Rattus norvegicus: one gene and its partners. The protein of the gene in region 1 binds, or shares a complex with, the protein of each later gene. Links are inferred from orthologs where the notes say so. Each region holds a gene or a part of one and is shown in the gene's direction. Other genes may lie near its edges.

Evidence for each region.
Region 2: the proteins of Nog (region 1) and Bmp7 are in contact, whole or in part, in a crystal structure (PDB 1M4U), measured with the Homo sapiens proteins. The link is inferred for Rattus norvegicus from reciprocal best matches to the Homo sapiens genes NOG and BMP7. Residues at the interface, in NP_005441.1 of Homo sapiens: His29, Tyr30, Leu31, His32, Ile33, Arg34, Pro35, Ala36; in NP_001710.1 of Homo sapiens: Phe365, Pro366, Leu367, Asn368, Ser369, Asn375, Ile378, Val379.
Region 3: the proteins of Nog (region 1) and Bmp2 are in contact, whole or in part, in a crystal structure (PDB 7AG0), measured with the Homo sapiens proteins. The link is inferred for Rattus norvegicus from reciprocal best matches to the Homo sapiens genes NOG and BMP2. Residues at the interface, in NP_005441.1 of Homo sapiens: Ile33, Arg34, Pro35, Ala36, Pro37, Ser38, Asp39, Asn40, Pro42, Leu43, Val44, Asp45, Leu46, Ile47, His49, His199, Arg204, Arg206, Pro219, Ile220, Gln221, Tyr222, Pro223; in NP_001191.1 of Homo sapiens: Trp310, Asp312, Trp313, Val315, Ala316, Pro317, Pro318, Gly319, Tyr320, Ala368, Ile369, Ser370, Met371, Leu372, Tyr373, Lys379, Val380, Val381, Leu382, Lys383, Asn384, Tyr385, Gln386, Met388.

Annotation. Positions count from the first base shown.
Region 1 is NC_086028.1:74,623,874-74,630,443, reverse strand, and holds Nog (noggin precursor), read left to right. Parts: upstream 1-3,191; coding exon 3,192-3,890; 3' UTR 3,891-4,570; downstream 4,571-6,570. Other genes in the region: Nogl1 (proline-rich protein 36-like), read right to left, coding at 1,380-1,398, 2,323-3,281, 3,492-3,611. UniProt on the Homo sapiens protein: Inhibitor of bone morphogenetic proteins (BMP) signaling which is required for growth and patterning of the neural tube and somite. Essential for cartilage morphogenesis and joint formation.
Region 2 is NC_086021.1:182,131,146-182,138,730, reverse strand, and holds the start of Bmp7 (bone morphogenetic protein 7 precursor), read left to right. Parts: upstream 1-3,584; 5' UTR 3,585-4,008; coding exon 4,009-4,423; intron 4,424-7,585. UniProt on the Homo sapiens protein: Growth factor of the TGF-beta superfamily that plays important role in various biological processes, including embryogenesis, hematopoiesis, neurogenesis and skeletal morphogenesis.
Region 3 is NC_086021.1:141,262,314-141,269,839, forward strand, and holds the start of Bmp2 (bone morphogenetic protein 2 precursor), read left to right. Parts: upstream 1-3,210; 5' UTR 3,211-3,454; intron 3,455-4,506; 5' UTR 4,507-4,513; coding exon 4,514-4,856; intron 4,857-7,526. UniProt on the Homo sapiens protein: Growth factor of the TGF-beta superfamily that plays essential roles in many developmental processes, including cardiogenesis, neurogenesis, and osteogenesis. Induces cartilage and bone formation.

The DNA of each region.
Region 1 (6,570 bases):
CAAAACTCTCACGCACATACAGTAAAATAATAATAAATGTAAAACCGAGGGTGATTGGACATTTAAAAAACCCACAGGTGATTTGAAGGAGAAAAGAAAAAAGAAAAAAAAAGCACAGTAGGTAAGCACTAGTTGGAACTCAACCCTGTCTGAGGAAGGCAGGACTTGGGTTTACCTTCTCAAGTCTTTACTGAAAGAAATTATTTTCTTAGTTGATTCCCAGCAGTGACAAAATTGCTCTGGAACATTTAATCTTCACGAGACAGCAAACTAATGCCAAACCACTATAAAACATATCAAAAAGTAAAGTCTGTGAGACGGTCTCTCATATTATTTGCAAACTAGACTGTTTTCTTAATTTTTAAAATTAGATTTATTGATTTTATTTTATGTGTGGGGCTTTCGCCTGAGTACAAGTCTGTGCACCACTTGCATGCTCGGTGCCCATGGAGCAGAAAAGGCCATCGGATGTCCTAGAACTGGAGATAGGCATGGGTGTGAGCCACCATGCTGGGAATAGATCCCTGATCTTCTGCAAAACATTCAGTGCCCTTGACCACCGAGTCATCTCTCTCACCCTAAGACCTAGACCAATTTTTAAAAACCAATGATTGTTCATCTCCACTGGTGATCAAAGCAAGACCTTGTTATAGACAGAACCCACGGAGTCTAGTTCTACTTGTCCAGATGTTACAGTTGCGGGAAGCATTCGCACCTGAAACTGGCCACCCCTCTCTACTACTGAGGTACTGAGAAAGGCCATACAACCAAGTGCTTTCCCCTTAGGGGACTAAAAGGAAAACTAGACCTTGGTGTGTTTGAGGCTGTGGCCCTGGGACTGCCTAACTCCCACTCCTGTGTGAATTCCGGAGACATTCACTCCAGGTGTCTCTCCTCCACCGCCTTACGATGGACACCAACCACATCACCATAAAGGACAAGCTTGGTCTTGACCCCAACTCTTCATACAAAGGGAAATTAGGGGGAGGGGTCACTTCAGCTCCCCTTTCTCATCAAAGAGGTTATTCCTTCTTTTCAAGAAGCAGTGTCCCTTTGATGGGTAAAAGATGCTGAATCTGGATTAGTGACCTAACTCAGTTTGTTAGAACTATGATATGGTAGGTCTCAAAAAAGACCTGGAGTTAGGTCACTAATCCAAAAACTAAAATTTTGAGTGCCACACAAGTGACTTACCCAAGGTCTACATAGATGTGGACCAGGGTGGATGGCATCCAGACCTGGGTACCTTACTTCTAGAATACCTTTCCTTTTCTAGTCACCACTCTCTGCCCACTAAGGTCACTTACCCCAGCCGGATGATGCAAACCTGTGTGCTTGTGAAATCCAAGTACCTTGGAGAAAAATCTCAGGATTTTTGTTTACACTAAGTCTGGAAATCTATGAGAAAGCATTCAGAAACATAAAGTACCTGTCAGTACCCACAATTATGGCACAGATGCAGAATTTGAAATTGGGCCAGACAGAGGGGCAGCCTACAAACCCACCTAGCTGAGCACCACAGGACGCAACCCCCTCCCCCCACTGCGCGCGCGCGTGCGCGCACACACACACACACACACACACACACACACACACACACACACACACACACTTCAGCCAGAACCAAATGCAGGGATCACAAAGGGCCAGCAGAGGGCGCGCCGCCCCCAGGGAGGTGAGAGCTAGTTGTAGCAAGCAGCGAGGATTAGGGGAACCGCAGGCTAGGAGGATGTACCTCTATTTCCCCGCCACTCACCCGGTAGGACCAGGCCAAGGAGGAGGGTGAGAAGACCACCTCCCCGCCTCATGGATCTGAGGGGCAGAGAAACAGGAGTGCTACCTAGAAATTACATCACGCTGCGCAACCCTGCGGCGTGTGTGTGTGTGTGTGTGTGTGTGTGTGTGTGTGTGTGTGTGTGTGTGTTGGGGGGAGGGGACTTAGTCCAATCCCGAGAGGAACGATAAAAAGACACGCACACGCACCCGGGAAAATGCTCCATGCACATGGAGAAATTTCTTGCTAGGAACTGCACTGAAAACCGAGCCCCCAGCATCTCCCTGCTGTTCCTCTCCCGGTGCAAAGCACTCAGTTAGTGAGAGTCACCCCCCCCCCGCCCCACCTCGACAACCCCACACCCCTCAACTCCAGCCCTGCACCCTCCAGCCTGGCTCCAGCGCCGCCGCGAGCTTTCCCCGGGACTGGCCCTGGCGGGGCGCCTAGAGCCCCATTGCATTGCTCCAGGAGAAAGGAGGGGGGCGGTGCATTTTGTAGGAGGAGGAGAACCGGGGCGGGGGGGGGGGGAGAGAAAATTGCGCGGAGACCTGCCAAGCGCCACCGCCGCCGCCGCCACCGCCGCTGCCGCGCCGCCGCCGCCTGTGAGCTCCGGCGGGCAGCCTGACTGTCGGCTTCCCGGGGCATCTGGGTCCGGCGGGGCACAGTCCTGGGCGCTGCCGGAGCCGCCGCCGCCGCCGCGGCGACCAGTGCAGTCGCTTAACCCCGAGCCCGTGCGGCTCCGGCTCCTCGCGGGTGGAGGAGTGGGGGGTGGGGTTGTTGTTTGGGGGGAAGAAGGGGGAGGGGGCAACGCGGAGAGAGTCAGTGGTTTCCATGGTGATGGAGCTGAAAGTGCAGGAAATTTAAAGGCTTGGACCCTGCGAGACAGACAAACCGGTGCCAACGTGCGCGGACGCCGCCGCCGCCACCGCCGCTGGAGTCCGCAGGGCAGAGCCGGCTGTGCAGCCCGGAGCAGACGGAGAGAAGTGGCCCAGGACCCGCTCGACCGGAGGCTGGGCACAGAGAAGCAGGACGCCGAGCAGCCAGAGGAGGAGGAGGAGGAAAGAGGCTCGTCCACGCGCCCTGCGCCGCCCGCAGCCGGGGAGAGCAGCGAGGAGCCGGCGCCCCCAGCGCCCCACGGTCGCGCTGGAGTAATCTCGGATGCCCGGCCGCGGCCGCCTTCCCAAGTAGAGCGGCGGGGGGGAGTTGTGACCAACTCGTGCGCGTCTTCTGCGCCGCGGCGGGAGCCGGCGCTGCGCGAACGCTTCTCCTCGCGGCTCATGCTGCCTGCCCTGCGCCAGCCCAGCTTCGGGTGAGCCGCCTCCGGAGGGACCCGGGAGCGCGGCAGCGCCGCGGACTCGGCGTGCTCTCCTCCGGGGACGCGGGACGAAGAGGCAGCCCCGGGACGCGCGCGGGAGGCATGGAGCGCTGCCCCAGCCTGGGGGTCACCCTCTACGCCCTGGTGGTGGTCCTGGGGCTGCGGGCAGCACCAGCCGGCGGCCAGCACTATCTACACATCCGCCCAGCACCCAGCGACAACCTGCCCCTGGTGGACCTCATCGAACATCCAGACCCTATCTTTGACCCTAAGGAGAAGGATCTGAACGAGACGCTGCTGCGCTCGCTGCTCGGGGGCCACTACGACCCGGGTTTTATGGCCACTTCACCCCCAGAGGACCGACCCGGAGGGGGCGGGGGACCGGCTGGAGGTGCCGAGGACCTGGCGGAGCTGGACCAGCTGCTGCGGCAGCGGCCGTCGGGGGCCATGCCGAGCGAGATCAAAGGGCTGGAGTTCTCCGAGGGCTTGGCCCAAGGCAAGAAGCAGCGCCTGAGCAAGAAGCTGAGGAGGAAGTTACAGATGTGGCTGTGGTCACAGACCTTCTGCCCGGTGCTGTACGCGTGGAACGACCTAGGCAGCCGTTTTTGGCCGCGCTACGTGAAGGTGGGCAGCTGCTTCAGCAAGCGCTCCTGCTCTGTGCCTGAGGGCATGGTGTGTAAGCCATCCAAGTCTGTGCACCTCACCGTGCTGCGGTGGCGCTGTCAGCGGCGCGGGGGTCAGCGCTGCGGCTGGATTCCCATCCAGTACCCCATCATTTCCGAGTGTAAGTGTTCCTGCTAGAACTCGGGGCCCCCTGCCCGCGCCTAGACACTTGATGGATCCCCACCAACGCCCCCCACCCCCACCGCCTCCAACCAGTTCCACCACCCTCTAGCGAGGGTTTTCAATGAACTTTTTTTTTCTTCTTGGCTACAGAGACCTGGCTTTCTGGTTCATGTAATGCACTGTTTAACTGTGTAGGAATGTATATGTGTGTATATACGGTCCCAGTTTTAATTTACTTATTAAAAGGTCAGTATTATACGTCAAAAGTTACCCGGCTTCTACTGTATTTAAAAAAAATAAGCAAGCAAAGTGAAAAAAAAAGAGCAGAGAAAAGAGAGACTTATTCTGGTTGTTGGTAATAATGTTAACCTGCTATTTATATCCCAATGCCCTTCGCATGGCGAAGCAGGGGGGAAAAGTTATTTTTTTCTTAAAAGTACAAAGAGAGGGGGAACTTTTGTAGAAGGACTTTTAAAAAAGCTATTTTCCATTCTTCGGAAAATGTTTTGATTTTCCTTAGACCTCGAAGAAGTTATAGAGTTCAATGTTATTTTACAGTTATTGTAAATATAGAGAACAAATGGAATGACTAATCATTGTAAATTAAGAGTATCTGCTATTTATTCTTTATAATATCCCGTGTAGTAAATAAGAAAGAAGTGCAGAACAGGATTAAAGAAAACCACTAAAACCGACTGGGCTCTACACTGTGATTCACTGTGTTGGTGATTGATGGGGGGGGGGGGTTTGTCGCCGCGCTTACTACGCCTATTGGGAGACATGCTCATCCGTTTGGACTCCCCTCCTGTGGGGTGATGAAGGTGACTGTAAAATTTTCAGTGTGTGTGTGTGGCGGGGGTGTTATTCTCAAACCCCATCTTTTAAGTATCATGTGGTTTCTACCGAGTCTCCCAGGGTACCCTCCCCCGTGACACCAAAGCTCAGGCCTGTAGTGACCTCGACACCCAGCCGGCCCCCTGGAGCTGACCCCGGGCTGGGCCGATGAGGGGGGGAGGGAGGGGTAGCTGCTTTGTCCAGGCTGACAGGCCCTTCACAATGGGGACACGTGTCTTTCACACCTTCCCTGGGGGCGGAGTGCCGCTGAAACTTGACCCCCGAGGAATGGGGGGGGGTGTCAGAGCGCGCCCACCCAGATCCCGCCACCCCTCCCTCCTTGTACCCCCACCACAATATCCAGCCCTTGTTAACCCTTTGCATGCCCGGAAAATATGGTGGTTGGGGCTAAAGCGACCCCTTGAATTCTACTACATACAACCTCAGGGAGACTTCTGGTCTGAAGCCCCCACGTCCCAGGCCTACAATTGACTAGGGAGAGATAATTTGGATATTTGACACTCACCTGGGCCTCTTCCAGGACCTAAGAAAGACTGAGGTCCCAAATTTCAGAGGGATGTGAATCTGGGTACAAATCACCAATTCTGGGACCTGCACTGAGCAGAGAAACGCGACCCCCCCCCACACACTTACTCCACTTGGGGGGTGGGGGTGAGAAGAGAGGTGAAATCAGAATGGGATTTTTGCTCTTTAGTATAGAGGCAAAATTACCCCTTAAATGTTCGGGTTAATATTACTGTACCCCACCCTTAAAAAAAATCCATCTTCTTGGGACCCGCTTTAGACTCTCGCGTGCATCCCTCCACCTCAATCCCCAGTGGCGGCCATCCACTCAGCTCCACGTGGGCCGGCTTCCTGACACCGCTCCGGGCTCCTTTTATTTATCTTGGACTCCACAGTCGCCCTCCTTTGCTCCCTTCCCCACCCCCTTGCCACCTCGTCGCGCCTCCCTCCAGGCCTCCTGTCCTCCGCCCCCCCCAGCCCCCCCTCCGGAGTCGCAGCGAATCTATGCTAATTATTTCAAACCTGCACCGAGTCCCCAGCTCAGTCTCAATGCCCCGGGCCCCGCCCTCCCTGTCCCTCCAGCCGGGCGCTTTCTTCCCTCCCGACGCAGCCTCGGTGGCTCCTCATTTCAATAGCCTGGCCCCGGAGCCGGAGCCCCCTCCCCGGCGCTGCCTCCGTCAGCCGTGGGACAGACGTTAGGGTATTCATTAACTGGGAGCCGAGGAATAACGGCATTATTCCCCCCAGAGAGGGCACCCTGCCCCCGCGACTATCTGAGGCTTCATTGTAAAAGGATTAAAAGTTAAAGACCTCCATCTTATGATTCTTTCATTTAATCTTTCTGGCGCCTGGGAGACATGCTCGATGGATGATGGCTTTTAAAATATTCCTAATGTCGGCTACCTTAAGACTCCAAGCCGGGCAAACAAACGTAATTTATTTCCAGAAGAAAGAGGATATTGAGATGTTTAAGTTTATGAACCGCCGTCCACACGTATATTTGTTAAGTTCTGACAAATACCCAAATAACGTTAAAAATCGGCCATTCATCACTTATGAATTTATGCAAAACTTTCTATGCCCCGGGCCAATATTTTTGTAGACAGAGTTTCACTTGCGAGGGGCGGAGGAGGTGGGGAGGAGGGACGAGGAGGGGGCTTGGGTCGGGGTTGGGGGGGGGGAGCCCAAAGCAAGAATTTTCATGCCTGGTAAACACGCGAATTATGCGAAGAGAGTTATTCCCAGCTGGGCGGGCAGCCAAAACTCGGAGAGCGCGCGGAGGCCAGCGCCCCCACCCCCACGTTGGTAATGTCATTGGATTACAATGCGAGGTCTT
Region 2 (7,585 bases), on another chromosome or scaffold:
TGGAGACATGAGCGGCTGGGGTCAAAATCGCCTCTGCAGGATATGAAGAGGTGGTGTTCCAGACGAAAATGCCTTGCCCAGCGCAGGGAGGCCCGCAGGAGAGCAGCTTCCAGACACAATGACACCCCAGGTGTGGAGCGGCCTGGGGGGATCACATTACACTCTGGAGCTTGTGCTGGGTGCCCTGGCCGAGAAGGGGTGGGGAACCTGTTGGGGCTGGGGCTGATGTGGGTCAGGGCCTGGCTACTCAGGAAGTCCCTGGACCAAAGGGTGGGGGGGGTGGGGTCCTCCTTTCCTCTCAGGCCATGGCTGTTTGTTCTGGGCTATCTTGCTCCTGTCTCTGTTCAGGCTGCTGTGGGAAATTTAATTCATTTTAACTCCCAGGAGCTTCTTCTTGGTGGGTTTTCTGTCTTAATCAGATGGTAACTAGCATTTACCAAGGATAGCCTCTGTACCCGGGGAACCTGGATCCTCAAGCAACCATGGGATGATCCCAGTCTCCCATTTTACAGGCAGGAAAACTAAGGCAGGAGCCCGCCAATTCTACTTTCACTATGTACAGCTGGAAGCTCTGAGTGTGGAGCCCCAGGTTCCCAGGATCCAGGCTATCATTTCCTTCCCATCAGGTTGTCTCCAAGCATCCTCAAAGCCTTCTCTGGGTGCTCCAGGGGTGAATCTGTCCTGCTTGTCTGCTCTATCACTCAGGAAACAGCTGGGTGAGGTCTTGGGGACTCCTCTGGGAGGAAGCGCAGAAGAGACCTCCCTCCCCCAGGGTTTGGCTGAGAGATAATTGGGGTGGTAGGAGTTCAGAGGGAATCTTATCTCTGGAGCCTCAGGAATGAGAAGAGGTGGCCTCTGGGAGGTGGGGACCTGGGAGAGGGGCCTGGGAAGGAAGAGGTTGGCCTTTCATGGTCCGCCCCTCAGACATTGGCCTTTTAGGTTTGGTTTGCCTGATTGCCATTCGCCCAATAGGTACTTGGTGAGGGGATATCTGCTCTCTCTCTCTCTCTCTCTCTCTCTCTCTCTCTCTCTCTCTCTCTCTCTCTGTGTGTGTGTGTGTGTGTTGGGAAGAAGGGGAGGGGAGAGCCCAGTAGGAAACACACTAGGAGATGGGTCTTTGGTAGAGGACCCAAGAAGAACCCGTGACAAATGAGTATTTTCCATGTGCAAAGTAGCAGCACACAGACCTGCACCTCCCTTCAGGATACCCCCACCTTGCTTGCTAGGGAGATGCTCCAAAAGATGGAGGGTGGATTTGAACTAGGAGGCTTCTGTGAGCCGCACACCTTAACCTGATGTCAGTCTAGACTTTAGAAGAGATAACCTGTAGAGACTTCTTTGGCAGAGACCTTGGGCAGGGCTGGTGTAGCTCTTGATTCTGCTTTGGGGGAACCTGCTGGCTGGGCTCTTCTTGATAACCTTTTCAGGAAAGTCCTTCCTTCTGAAGCTGTCTGTCCCGCTTGTCATTTCATCTGTGAAGCCCAGTCTCTCTGGGGACTGCAGTGACCCAGGGTGCTGTTTTACGGACAGAGACTACAGTGGTTCTCCTGTCATGGCCGCCCATGGGTCACATGTCCCTCCCCTACCCAAGCCCAGCAAGGCGTCCGATCTCTGCCTTCTTGGCTGCCTCCTCCACCTGAGCTCTGATGCTTCTCAGAGAGAAGAAACGGGAAAGACTGCCATGCTTCTGTCCCAGACCTCCTTGATGTTTCCGGGGGCCTGAGAACCAGCTAGTCATGGAGGTCGCCACACTGGCTTGATCACTCTGATGTCCTCCTGCCTGGCCTATGTGTGGCACTCCTGCTGGCCACAGAAGGCCACACACAGCCTTCCGAAGTAAGGGCAGGGCCCCTTTGTTTATTCAATATTAAGAACTGTAACTTGGTCACTGGAGGTCATGTCTCCAGCTCACAGCCTGAGTGGCCTCAGCTCACAAGCCACAGCAGGTCCAGGGAGGGGCCTCTCAGAGCTGTGCTGGCAGGGGACACAGTACTGTTGGTGTCCACAGCCTGGACTATGACCTGCAGGTCTCTTTTGGGGCCATCCCTGCGGCCCCTCAGGCAGCCACATGGTCTAAAATCCTCCCAAGGAGCCCAGAGAGCCCTAGGGTAGCTATCTCTGTTTCCAGAAGCCCGGAAGACCAGGCTGTCCCATTTCACCCTAGGACTTCAAGATGGAGCCCTCTACTCAAGGTCCTTCCCAAGCCCCTCTTGCCACTCTTTAATTCAGACTCCCATGGATATTCTTGGAGCCCGCCTTCAGCAGAGCAGGGAGGCCTGGCTTACCACCCCACAGCTCACTGCCATTCTGAGTGAATGCTGTTTTGCTCCCATTTTTCAGAAATGGAAACCGAGGCTCTAAAGAGCAGCTATCCACTGAGAGCTCCAGCATCTGTCTGGGTCCTTTCTTTCTGTGAAGAGAGGGAGGCTAGTCCTTTGCGACAGGAAAATTCAGTGTGGGTGTGTGGGGGGGGGGTTGTCCTGAACTTGGGTACAATGCCCAACTCCCTACTCCTCAGGCCCTACCTGGGGCTGGGGGTAGGGTTGTTAGACAGTAAGGCTTTGGCCCCTTGTGCCAGGATAAGGGGTGGGTGGACCCCCCCAAGAGGAGGGGGTGGGAGCACTCTCTAGTCCCAGATTTCACTTATGAACTCTGCAGAGCTGCAACATCTGGGGATCCGCAGTTCAAAAATACTAGGGGAAAAAAAAGCCTCGAAGTACCTGTACCGGATCCCTTGGGTGCTGAACCTGAGGAGGAGGAGGGAGGAGGATGAGGGAAGAGGAGTAGGGGTAGGTGGAGGAGGAGGAGGACGACGATGACAGTGTGTGTGTGTGTGTGTGTGTGTGTGTGTGTGTGTGTGTGTGTGTGTGTTTGTGTGTGTTGGGGAGTGAAGTGCAGAAAATAAAAGTAACGTCTGTAGGAGGAAACAACTTTATCTCCACTTTATCTTCGGTCCTGGAAGGTTACCAGAGGAAGTGGCACCCGAGGGGGAGGGGCAGGGAGAGAACTTTCCCTGAGGAGCAAAAGCCAGGGCAGCCGAAGCTGGCAGGCGGTGGGAGTACGGGCGGGGGTGGGCGGGTGTTTCTGCTTGACTGGAGCAAATGAAGTGTTCGGGAGGTTCGAAAGATGAGCCTTGTCCAAGAGTGGCCACCTCCGAGGAGCCTTCTCGGATTCCTGCGCTCCCTCCGGGATGCTTTCCTAGCACAGCCTATAGTTGCTACACTTTGGCCACTTCCAAGTGCGAGTCTCTAGAGGGCTGCAGCCTCGGATTCCTCTCTCTGCGCCCCTGAGGCGTCCGTCCCAGTGCCGGACACCCGGTGGGCACTCGGTAAATATTTGTAGAGCGCCCTGGGAGGAATGAATGAAGCCATTGGGCCAGGCTTGGGGAGGGCGGGGACAGGCGCAGGTGGGAGGCCGCGGGAGCGGGAGGGGCGGGGAAGTCGGTCCTCCTGCTCCTCCCCCCACTCCTCGGCCCCAGCGCGCCCCATTCCGGGGCTCCCGAGGCGGCTGGCGGGCGATCTGGGGCGCGCAGGACTGGAGAAGCGACCTGGGGTCCTTGTTTGGGGCGCGGGAGATCGGAAGGGTTTTTTTTTCCCGCTGGTGCCCGCGGGCCCGAGCGCGAGCAGAGTGGGAGGAGGGAGCGAGGGTTCGCCCAGCGCCCTGCTGCCTCCCCGGCACTCGCTCTCCGGACTTGAAGGTCTGCAAACTGCTGCTCCTCCCACCCCGGCCCGCCTCCTCGCTCTCTTGCTCTCTCTCTGGAGTTGCTGTGCTAGCCTTGCGGTGCGTCCTGGCGAGTGCGGGCCGAGGGGCCCCGGGCCAGAACTGAGTAGAGGACTGGGGCGTCTCGGGCAGAGCGCAGCGGGCCAGGGAGTGGCCATGAGTGGCGAGGCCACGGTGAAGCTCGTCTGCAGCAAGTGACCTCGGGTCGTGGACCGCTGCCCTGCCCCCTCCGCTGCCACCTGGGGCGGCGCGGGCCCGGTGCCCCGGATCGCGCGTAGAGCCGGCGCGATGCACGTGCGCTCGCTGCGCGCTGCGGCGCCACACAGCTTCGTGGCGCTCTGGGCGCCTCTGTTCTTGCTGCGCTCTGCCTTGGCCGACTTCAGCCTGGACAACGAGGTGCACTCCAGTTTCATCCACCGGCGCCTCCGCAGTCAGGAGCGGCGGGAGATGCAGCGGGAAATCCTGTCCATCTTGGGCTTGCCCCATCGTCCGCGCCCGCACCTCCAGGGAAAACATAATTCGGCGCCCATGTTCATGTTGGACCTGTACAACGCCATGGCGGTGGAGGAGAGTGGGCCGGACGGACAGGGCTTCTCCTACCCCTACAAGGCCGTCTTCAGTACCCAGGGTCCCCCTTTGGCCAGCCTGCAGGACAGCCACTTCCTCACCGACGCCGACATGGTCATGAGCTTCGTCAACCTAGGTGAGTGGCGGTAGGAGGTGATATATCTCAGACCAGGGCTACTTTGGGACAGGGAGAGGGTGCCTGCTTTCAACCACTGTGGTCCACCTTCCCATTTGCAAAGCATCAGTGCCGGCCAGAGACTCTTGCCCCCGGGTCTTGGTAAACTTTAAGCTCTGTGAGTCTTTGAGTCTTGCCGGCTCGGAGGGTTTGTGGGGGGTACCGAGAGGGAAGGACCTGCCCTGAGTCTCTTTGCCTGCTCCGCCGCGCGTTCATCTCACTCAGGGGCGGGAGGTCCCGGCCCGGCAGCGGCTTAGTTCAAAGCGCCCGGCTGGGTCATGTGAGCTGAACCGGCTTCAGCGGCCCGCGCTACCTGGATTTAAAGGGCCCTTGAGAGTAAAGCTGCCTTCCCGCCTTTCCTCCGCCCCTTTGAGCCCAGCTTGGCTCTGGCATCTCGCACATCCCCTTTCCTTGCCCTCTCTGGCCAGCCCTACCTGTCCCTTTGCGGTGCGCCTTCTCGGCGCGCGCTCGGAGTGTCGCGGGGCTCCTCTCCTAGCCGCCAGTCGCCCACCTTTGGACTCTCGGCTGGAGCCGGGGAAAGAACGTTGCCATTGCGAGTTTTCTATTTTAAATATTTAATGATAGGTCCCGGGCGGGCAGAATCCATTTTCAGCGTTTATCACGTGTGGCGCGCAAACCACGGGTTTTGGCGATTGGGTGGCTGGGGACCTCGGAACAGAGGCCGCCATGGAATGGCTGGGGAAACCGTTTCCATACTGTAGTTCCAGCCAACCAAGGGATGCGAGGCTGGGTTACGGCTGGTCTGAGACAGCTCCCCCTGCATCTGTGCGCGCACAAGTATCTAACTTGCTCAAACTAACCCCCAACCGTGCGCTGTGGGGCTGGCCATCAAATATTTGGCTTTGGTGATAACACACCCTGATAGTGCTGTTTCCTGAGTCACTTTTCTTCTGCTTGTGGAAGTTGCTGAGAAAACCCCAAGTCAAGACACCAAACACACCATGGGCGCCCGTCAACCTGGAAATAATGAAGCTTAAGGCCACCCCCCCCCCCTTTTCTCTCTCACTGGGCACCTGGGGCTCTGAAGGGATCTCCGGGAAGAAAGGGTCCACGTTAATCCTCTCAGCTCCAGATAAAGGCCTTGGAGCTTCTGGGAGACCATTGTCTGTTTCCATTTAAGATCAAAAAGTGTCAAATAATGAATCAAGCAAGGGTCAGGGTGTAAAGGCCTGTGATAGAGCTGACAAAATATTACAGAGCAAATTCAAATTCTCCTCAGACACTTGTTAAGAAGAGGTCCTGCTTTGGGATAGCCTCCAAACCCTGAAGGTAGGAAAGGCCAATTGCAAAGAGATTTTTCCTGGGGGTAGGGCTTGGTGTGCTGGGAGAGGGAGGCCGCCTTTCACTGCGTCCATTTTTTTAAAAAAAATGTGGATTTATTACCAAAAACTAAAGTCGACTCCTCAATAGAGACTTAGCAGTATGTGGTCAACGTGGATCTGCGAACCTATCCTGAAGGCAGGCATAACAAGGCCCTGGGTGAGGGTCAGGGCTTATGGCCTCTTCTGTTCTCCGGTGTGATCTCCAGGAAGCCAGTGAGTGGGTCCTAGCTGACAGTTCAGAGCTGGTCCATCGAGCTGCAACAGATAATCCCAGACTTTGGTGCCAGTCTCTGTGTTTCAGGTCTGGCCGTGTGGCCCCAGCTGGCTTCCCTCATCCCAAAGGGCCAGGTGGCTTCCAGGGCAGCTCCCAGGGCCCTGCTGGGAACCTGGCAGGGGCGGTTGCTCCCCACCCCCAAGCCCCGGCCTCCCTCGGGTACAAGCTGGGGCTTGCTGGGGAGGCCACAGCTGGGTGGCTTCCTCTGGCTGCACACACACCTTTCTTTCAGTCCGTTCTTTCTTTCATGTTGACAGGACAAAGCCTGGCTTGTCTGAGCCTCTTAATCAGTGGGGCTGGCCGTGGGCTTTTGTGGGACTGTCCTTTCTCAGGCATGGCTTTCTGGACCATCACTCCTAATTAGATAGCAGGGTGGCTTTTAACAGGACCCAGGGATAGGGTCTTGTTTTCTCTCTCTCCTTCTCTCGCTAAGCTAGAGGTAATTAGGGGAAGCCCCAGACTGTAGCTGCTAAGAGCTTCCTGTAGGTGCATCTTTAATCTCTGCTGGGCCACAGCACAGGCATAGGCCTCCTGCTCCTGCTGCTATGACCTGGGGATGGCAGCTGGGTTGAAGAAGGGTGTAGCGACCCCCAGAGACTCATCCCCACACTGAGGCTGCTGAGAAAGCGTAGTCTGGTCAGAAATAGACAAGTTTTAGAATGCCAGGTTCACGCTTACCCTTTGCTCCCCGAATGAGAAAAGGTCCTGGTTCCTGTCAAACCACCCCTTGTCACCCTTAGAGCATTTGGTGTTGGTGCCAGAGACCGGACCCCCTGGCTGCCTTCCACACACACCTCTGCCCACACACCTCCGCCATTCTCCCTCAGGCCTGCCTGCTTGGGGGACCCCCTGCCTCAACCCTGAAGGCTTTTGCAGATCCACTGCCTCTCTCCTCCTGTCTGCAGCCAAACTGGTTTTTGTTCTTGTAAGTTGTTCTCCCTGGAATTCGAGCAGTCTGCCAGGCCTAGTGGGATCCACACCAGAGGAAAATTTACAGCAAAACCAGGTGCTGCGTGTGAGGACTTGACTGCCCCAGATGACAAAGACCAGCCTGAACCATAAAGTCCCTGGGAAAGCCGGCTAGCGTGGGACACCCATCCTCCTGGCTCTGGCCCCGAAGTTCAATGACAAGATCTGTAAACTGGTTTGGATTAACAAGCCCCCTACTCCTCTGGGTAGACTTCATTTTGGAATTCAAAACAGGCCACACTCTCTCAAACAGTCCCCAGGCAAAGTTGATCCTGCAGAGACCTGGCCTAGCTATTATTAACCCCAGCTATTCTTTCTTCGGGAAGCCAAAAGCCCTGTTCAGAATCTTTCTAGAAAGCCAACCGGCTTGGAGAGGGTGTATGTGACTGCTGTTTATCTCCTGGGCCAGGTTGGGAAGGAATGAAATTTGTTTAATCTTCGAAGCTAAGTTAGAAAAGGGAGCCTGCTCGGACCCCGTCATTACTGTAGCCAGCACAGAGAAGTGGCTTTTGTTAACTTGTTCTGGTAAGCAGAGGT
Region 3 (7,526 bases), on another chromosome or scaffold:
TCTTGCCCCAATACTGCCTTGCCCCACTCAGACCCTTTACGCACTTGTTGACAGATACACTAAAAATGACAAACAGAGATACTCTCAACTTCTGAACTGACAGATACCAAGAAAAACTTTTTAATTGGTAAGATCAAGCAAGTCCTCAGAGAAGACAGCTACTATCCCCTCGAACTATTAAGTAACCAACCACACATTCTTAGTTGTGGGTGGAAGGATAGAGAGTAAAGAAGCATAGAGAGTAAAAAAGCAACGCCTTTGTATTTGTTTCTTCTCTACGATTTCTATTTCATGAAGAACGGACTGACCATGACCGTCTATTTTGTATTCCAAAGAACAGAGAATTCTTTCAAACTGGATCCACTTCTGGGTCCCATGCGTTTACGCTCATTTCCACCACAAGAGGGCAGCCATCTCTAAAAAACAACAGTTGTGCTCTTCAGAGAAATTGGGCCAAACTTCAGGAAAGTTCCTGGGAAAGGCTTTTAACTGCCTGCACCTCCCCTCTCCCGTTGCATGTCCTACAAAAAAGAAGCCGCCAGGCACCACCAAGGTGGAGTAACTGTCCGGAGGCATCCATTTTATCTCAGAGTCTTGATTACTAAGGATATCATAAATGGCCAAACTCCCGCTTCTGGAGTTCCAAAGGCCCAAAGCTACACGGCATTGTTGATGTCATCCCCAAAGGTTTCATTTTCATCTTTTCTTGGGGTGGGTCCAACAGCTGTCAACTTTCTCTTCCTCATTAAAGGCAACTTTCTGATTTAAATCTCATATATGTTTGGAGGTTTTGCTTTGCTCCACAAGTCTTCCCGATGACAGAAGCAATTGTTAACTTCTCAATTAAACTTGATAGGGAAGGAAATGGCTTCAGAAGCGATCAGCACTTTTGGCTTACATGTCTGAGTGGAGTGTTTTATTGCCTTCTTGTTTGGTCTCTCACGATTTAGAGTGACAATTTCTACAACACATCTTAAGAAGGAATACAGTAACTGATTGCAGATTGCTGAATCTATTCCTTCTCCTTTAATTTTCCTAGTAGGCAGCCTTCCTTCAAAGTACCTTATTTGCCCTTTACAGCTCTAGAAACAGCCAGGGCCTAATTTCCCTCTGTGGGTTGCTAATCTGATTTAGGTGAGCAGAACCTAGAGTTATTTTAGCTTCCCAACTGAAAAGCTAATACACACGGATAATAGATTATTAAAGCCCCTCCTTCTGGTTTTTCTCTGTCTTTGCTTTGCAAACTTGAAAGATCTGATTCAGAACCTGGTATTACCAATCTGGTCTTCCACAGAAATGTTCTGCCCATAGCTTTGGGGGTCATGTGGGCAACAAGGTGGTAGTATGTATGAAGGCTCCTGAAATGAGGGAGAAGTGGAAAGAGTTCAAAACGAATCCTGGATCAGCAGCTTTGGGGACATTCCAGCTGAGGAAGAAAAGTGGCTTAGCCACAGTCAGAGTCTTGCTTCTGGAGACCTAGTGGAGAGGGCCAGACAGAAAATTCAAAAGTCTCAAACCAGAAATGTCTTGTTACCTGCCTCTGGTGTAGGTGGGTGGGGGAGGGGAGATAAATAGCCCAAGTATGGAAGTGATTGTTTCTATAAAGAGAACTTCTATTAACTCCCATTGTCCCCTCACATGGACAGACAGACAGACACACACACACACACACACACACACAAACACTAGAGGGGACATCCACTTTACATGTGTATATCTATGTACAGAACCTGTACCCTCATTTTTATAATTTACATAAATGAATACATATATGTATATACATCTTTTATTAGATTCATTTATTTGACTATATATGCACATGGGCGCATATAAATGTATGAATATTTATAAAATGTAATAATACACTCGAATGTGTATTGGCTATTTCTTGACATTTTCTTCTCACCATTCAAAACAGAGAAGCGTTTGCTCACATCTTTGCCAACATGTCTGATAACTTCTAGGTTCTTCTTTTTAATGTGATCTTACCTAAAAACTTCAAACTCAAGTTGAATATTGGCCCAGTGGGGGAACTCAGAGGCAAGCCTACCCTGAATTTGCCCTAAACTCGGGCATCTGGGGCACGAATCCTGGTCCCGGGGGTCTGCTTTACACTCAGCCGGGACGCGACCCCTTAGCGGCCGCGCGCTCGCCCCGCCCCGCCCCGCCGCGGCCGCCCCTCAGGGCGCGCCGTCCACACCCCTGCGCGCTGCTCCCGCCCGCCCGGGGATCCCCAGCGCGCTGCGCCTCCGAGGGGGAGGTGTTCGGCCACGGCCGGGAGGGAGCCGGCAGGCGGCGTCTCCTTTAAAAGCCGCGAGCGCCGCGCCACGGCGCCTCCGTCGTCGCCGCCGGAGTCCTCGCCCTGCCGCGCAGAGCCCGGCTCGCACTGCGCCCGCCGCTGCGCTTCCCACAGCCCGCCCGGGATTGGCAGCTCGGGACGAAGCCTCCCTAGCCCACACCGGCCATCGGACGCCCTCAGGGCGAGCGACGCGAGGGTCACCCGGGGCTTCGAGGGGCCGGCACGACACCGGTTGGAGCTGCGAACTGTGCGCGCCCGGCTCTGTGGCCTCAGCTGTCCGGGAGAAGCCAGAGTCGCGGACCGACGCTAAGAGCCGGGAGTCCGGAGCACAGTCTTACCCTCAACGCTGGGCTACTCCGACACGAGAGTGAGCGCCCGAGGCGAGCAGGAAGAGTGATCGGACCCCAGGCTGCCACAAAAGACACTTGGCCCGAGGGCTCGGAGCGTGAGGTCACCCGGTTTGGCAGCCGGGGACGCGCGGCTGGACTGTCTCGAGAATGAGCCCCAGGACGCCGGGACGCCGCAGCCGTGCGGGTTCCGCTGGCGAGCGCTGATGGGGGTGCGCCAGAGTCAGGCTGAGGGATGCGGAGTGGCGGCCCGCCCGCCACCCAGATCTTCGCTGCGCCCTTGCCGGGACCCGGCGTCGCCCACGATGGCTGCCCCGAGCCATGGGTCGCGGCCCAGCTAACGCAGAACGTCCGACCCTCGCCCGGCGAGTCCCGGAGCCGGCCCCGCGCCCCGCCAGCGCTGGTCCCTGAGGAAGACGACAGCAGCAGCCTTGCCTCAGCCTTCCCTCCCCGTCCCTGCCCCGCACTCCTCCCCCTGCTTGAGGCTGTGTGTCAGCACTTGGCTGGAGACTTCTTGAACTTGTCGGGAGAGTGACTTGGGCTCCCCACTTCGCGCCGGTGTCCTCGCCCGGCGGATCCAGTCTTGCCGCCGCCTCCAGCCCGGTCACCTCTCTGTTCCTTGGCCGGCTGGGCCCACCCCAAGACACGGTTCCCTTCGGGGAGAACACCCGGAGAAGGAGGAGGTGAAGAAAGGCAACAGAAGCCCAGTCGCTGCTCCAGGTCCCTCGGACAGAGCTTTTTCCATGTGGAGACTCTCTCAATGGACGTGCCCCCTAGTGCTTCTTAGACGGACTGCGGTCTCCTAAAGGTAGAGGACACGGGCCCGGACCCAGGGCTGGCGGGTGACACCGCTTCCCGCCCGGCGGCGCTGGGCGCCTCGGAGGACCGGTGGAGTGGACGTAAACATACCCTCTCCCGGTGCACGTGCAGCGAGCGGATCCCTAGAGGGGTCAGGCACTCTGAACCCCAGATCCCTCTGTCTTGCCCACCTGGTCTGCGACCTCCTTTCAGCCCGTTCCTCCTCCCCAGTTTTAAATACATTATCAGGGCTGTTTTGGGCTTTACCCCCTCCTCCGCCCCCAAATTGCAGAAATCCATTTAGAGAGTATGGCCGGTGGATTTCACTAGTTCATTGCCCACCAGCACTCCAAGCCTTAGAGATCCTTCGCTATCCTTAAGAACTAGGTCCCATTTAGGAAGCTACTAAAAGTCGGGGTTCTTTTTGTGTGTGTTTACTGACTGTGCGGATGTGTCACAGCTTACACGTGCATTTATAGACACTATCTATTTAGGTCATTGCAGAAAGGTGCATGGATTTCTTGACTGCACAGGGGTCTGGAGAAGGGGACAGAGTGGCCTGTGGGTCAACCTTGAAGTTAGGGGCGTAGGCCACGACTTGCAAGTGGCGTCATTAGTATTAATCTTTAGTTTACCGCTTTCTGAATCTACAATCTACCAGGAAGTTCTATACGGCGCCTCTAAGGAAGTCACTTGTGCATTTGTGTCTGTTTATGTGCAAATGAACGCTGTGCAGTATAGTTGTAAGGGATGCAGTGTCCGAACAATCTATGGGTTCCCAGCTTCCTGACACAGGCTTTACTAGCTAGTGTCACAAGAAAAGGTGACAGACAGTCATTGATTTTTCTTTTTTAAATTGGGAGTTAAGACCAAGCCCCAAGTGAGAAGTCCGGCTGGGACTTAGGGGTTCTTCATCCTCTTGATCATCCAGGCTGTAGCTTGGATGACATGCCAGGAGGGCATCCTGGAGAAGGCCAGCGAGCCCTGTGGGAGCCGGGGCCGCGGGGGCGGGCGGAGGACTGGGCGGGGAACGTGGGTGACTCACGTCGGCCCTGTCCGCAGGTCGACCATGGTGGCCGGGACCCGCTGTCTTCTAGTGTTGCTGCTTCCCCAGGTCCTCCTGGGCGGCGCGGCCGGCCTCATTCCGGAGCTGGGCCGCAAGAAGTTCGCCGGGGCATCCGGCCGCCCCTTGTCCCGGCCTTCGGACGACGTCCTCAGCGAGTTTGAGTTGAGGCTGCTCAGCATGTTTGGCCTGAAGCAGAGACCCACCCCCAGCAAGGACGTCGTGGTGCCCCCCTATATGCTCGACCTGTACCGCCGGCACTCGGGCCAGCCAGGAGCGCCCGCCCCAGACCACCGGCTGGAGAGGGCAGCCAGCCGCGCCAACACCGTGCGCAGCTTCCATCACGAAGGTGAGCGGGCGGCGGGTGGCGGGGCGGGGACAGCGGGCGGAGACTCAGTGGGCAGCCCGGGCCTCCGCTAGCACAGTGGACGGTCCTTCGGCTTCTGTACCGTCCCCTCTGTGGCCCCGAGCCAGGGATTCCCCACTGGTGAGTCCGCACCCTTTTCCTGGCAGGTGGCCAGCAGACAGACTCCTCCCCACTAGAACTGGAGGGAAATCGAGTGATGGGGAAGAGGGTGAGAGACTGGCTAGCCCCTTGTCAGCTCATTGTGGGAGAATTTCACAGAAGGCAGGGAGTTGGGGCTCCTTAAATCTGTGTGGAAGCTCAGATCTGTGGCTTGTGTTCAGGCTGGAGTTTTAAGCTAGGCAGAGGTAGTATTAACAAATCAAATCCAGGGCCCCAAAGCATTCAAATTTGCTGTTCATCTGGGCCTCGTTTGAAAGATTTTTGAATCCCTATCTAATCCCCGTGGGAGATCAATTCCACAATCCATCATACTGTTTCCCCAATGACCTTCCTTTCTCCTGCTTAACTCTTAAGTCTCCAAGTGGAGACAGGTCAAGCCTTCAGATAAAAGCATTTTCTCCCACTGCCTGCTACCTTCCTAGACAAGGTAATGGAATTTTTAAAAAAATACGATATGAGTATGGTTTCCCAAGGTAGAGTAATGTTTATTTCTTCGGAAGGAGATTTAGTGGGTAAGACATGCTGTAGAGGCCTATTGAAGTCTCTTGTGCCAATGTCCTTATAGCAGTTAGTAAAAATAATAATAATAATAATAATAATAATAATAATAATAATAATAATAATCGTGCCTCAGTTCAATTCCGTGTGTGTCACTTTAAATGTGCTTTTGGTTTAATGCAATCTCAATAGGATATCAGTTCCTTCAAGTTCTAGAAGAATTCAGAGTTGTCTGTCAGTGAGCTGCAATTTATAGAACAATGGGGAGCTAGGAGAGAAGTTCCCTTTTTAAAGCTTCGCTTTGCCTTTCTTGAGAGGATACATTTTAAGTAGAAATCTATGCTCTGAAATGGCAGCCCAACCCCCATCCCCAATAAGGGATGACTCAAACTTTGAGAAGTCTGGTTGATAATAGGAAAAAGAGCCACCGGCAGGTCACATAGCAAGGGGTGTATCTTCCTTGAGGCAGCCAATGGTTATGAAGGGCACTAGAAACTGGTGTCTAAGGTTTTCTGGGGACAACGTTCAGTATTGAAAGATAGTGAGACCTTATTCTGCTCCTTAGGGTCTGCTTGCTGAGAGAGGGAGATTCCAGAATGTACACCCCCAGCCCCCGTCCCCAGGGCTAAGCTAATCTTTCTGGGTTAATATTTATTGGAAAATGTTTTGTAGATCAAAACAAACAAACAAAACCACTAGCCAGCACAGCTGTTTTTCCCACTGCCTTTGGAGATAGAGCAGGAAAACAATTTATTCGTGTATTTGTTTATTTATTAGTATTTTCTAATGTGAAAAAAATTATTCTTTACCTGTAAAAAAAAATGAACGAGTTATTTTATCTTTATCTTAACTAAGCTAAAAGCATCATTTAAGTCAACTAAAACTCAAAAATCCAATTGAATGTAAGGTTTGTCAATAAAATCTACATATTCTCAGTCTTCATTTGGAAGTGGCTTGATAAAAACACAGGCAAAACGCTATCTAGGTGTCTTATTTTAAAACTTAGTGAGCTTCCGTTCACAAGAAAAATTGTATTTTTAAAAGTGGTTTTTCTGGTGTAAAACTGTATAGAAGTTATCGACCTGCTTAAAATAAACTTGCACTGACTTTATATCTTGGTGCAATCAGATGTGATTTTTACCATAAATCTCAGAAACCATTTCTTTTCAGTCATCATCAGGTATACACGGCATATGGGAAGACTGTTCACATTGTTAAGTAGCCTAGAGTTTAGTTTTTCTAAGCATCCTTGTGCCACTGAAAAACCTTAATAAGCCATGTGTTACTTGGTAGGCTTCTTCGTAAATGCTAGAATGGCATGAGACAAGACATACCATGGTAGTCTTTCAGTAGATTCTTCCAGACAAAATCTCCTGTTGAACATTAAGAGCATTTTACCATAGATTTTATCCAGGAGAGTCCAGACTTTGCTGAATTCCCACCCCAAGGTCACTGAAGACCTTCCCGAACTGGCTGCCATTGGAAAACAGTTGGAAATTGCTTGACTCCATTGGCCCCATAGAGACTTCCCCTTTAGTGGCAGATCATATACAGAAGGATCTCATGCTGGTTCTTCTGACTATGGAGAACATAGTCTTTCTTTTTTCTTTTTGTAACTAACAAACGATGTGGCCCTGTGACTAAAGTTTTCAAAGAGGGAGAGAAAATAGCCGCAGGCTAGGACATTTCAAGGCACAACTCTGTCTTGTGATGAAGAAAGCATGGTCCATCCACCATGCCAGCATGGGTTTGAATGCAGACACCCAGGAAGGCTCCCATCTACTTCTGGCTGTGTTAGTGTGCTCACAAAGACCCTGTGGGGAAAACAGTTCCTCAGTGTGCAGTGTTCCTTGCCACTGATGTTCTCAGTGTCTCTTGTTTGTCAGCGGATGCTTTGAATACCTCTTGACTCCTCTCCAAGCTGCTTTTGTCCTCTTTACATGTACCTTGGGACATTTCTCTTGGTCGTTAGAGAATCCCTCCTGGACCTACAAG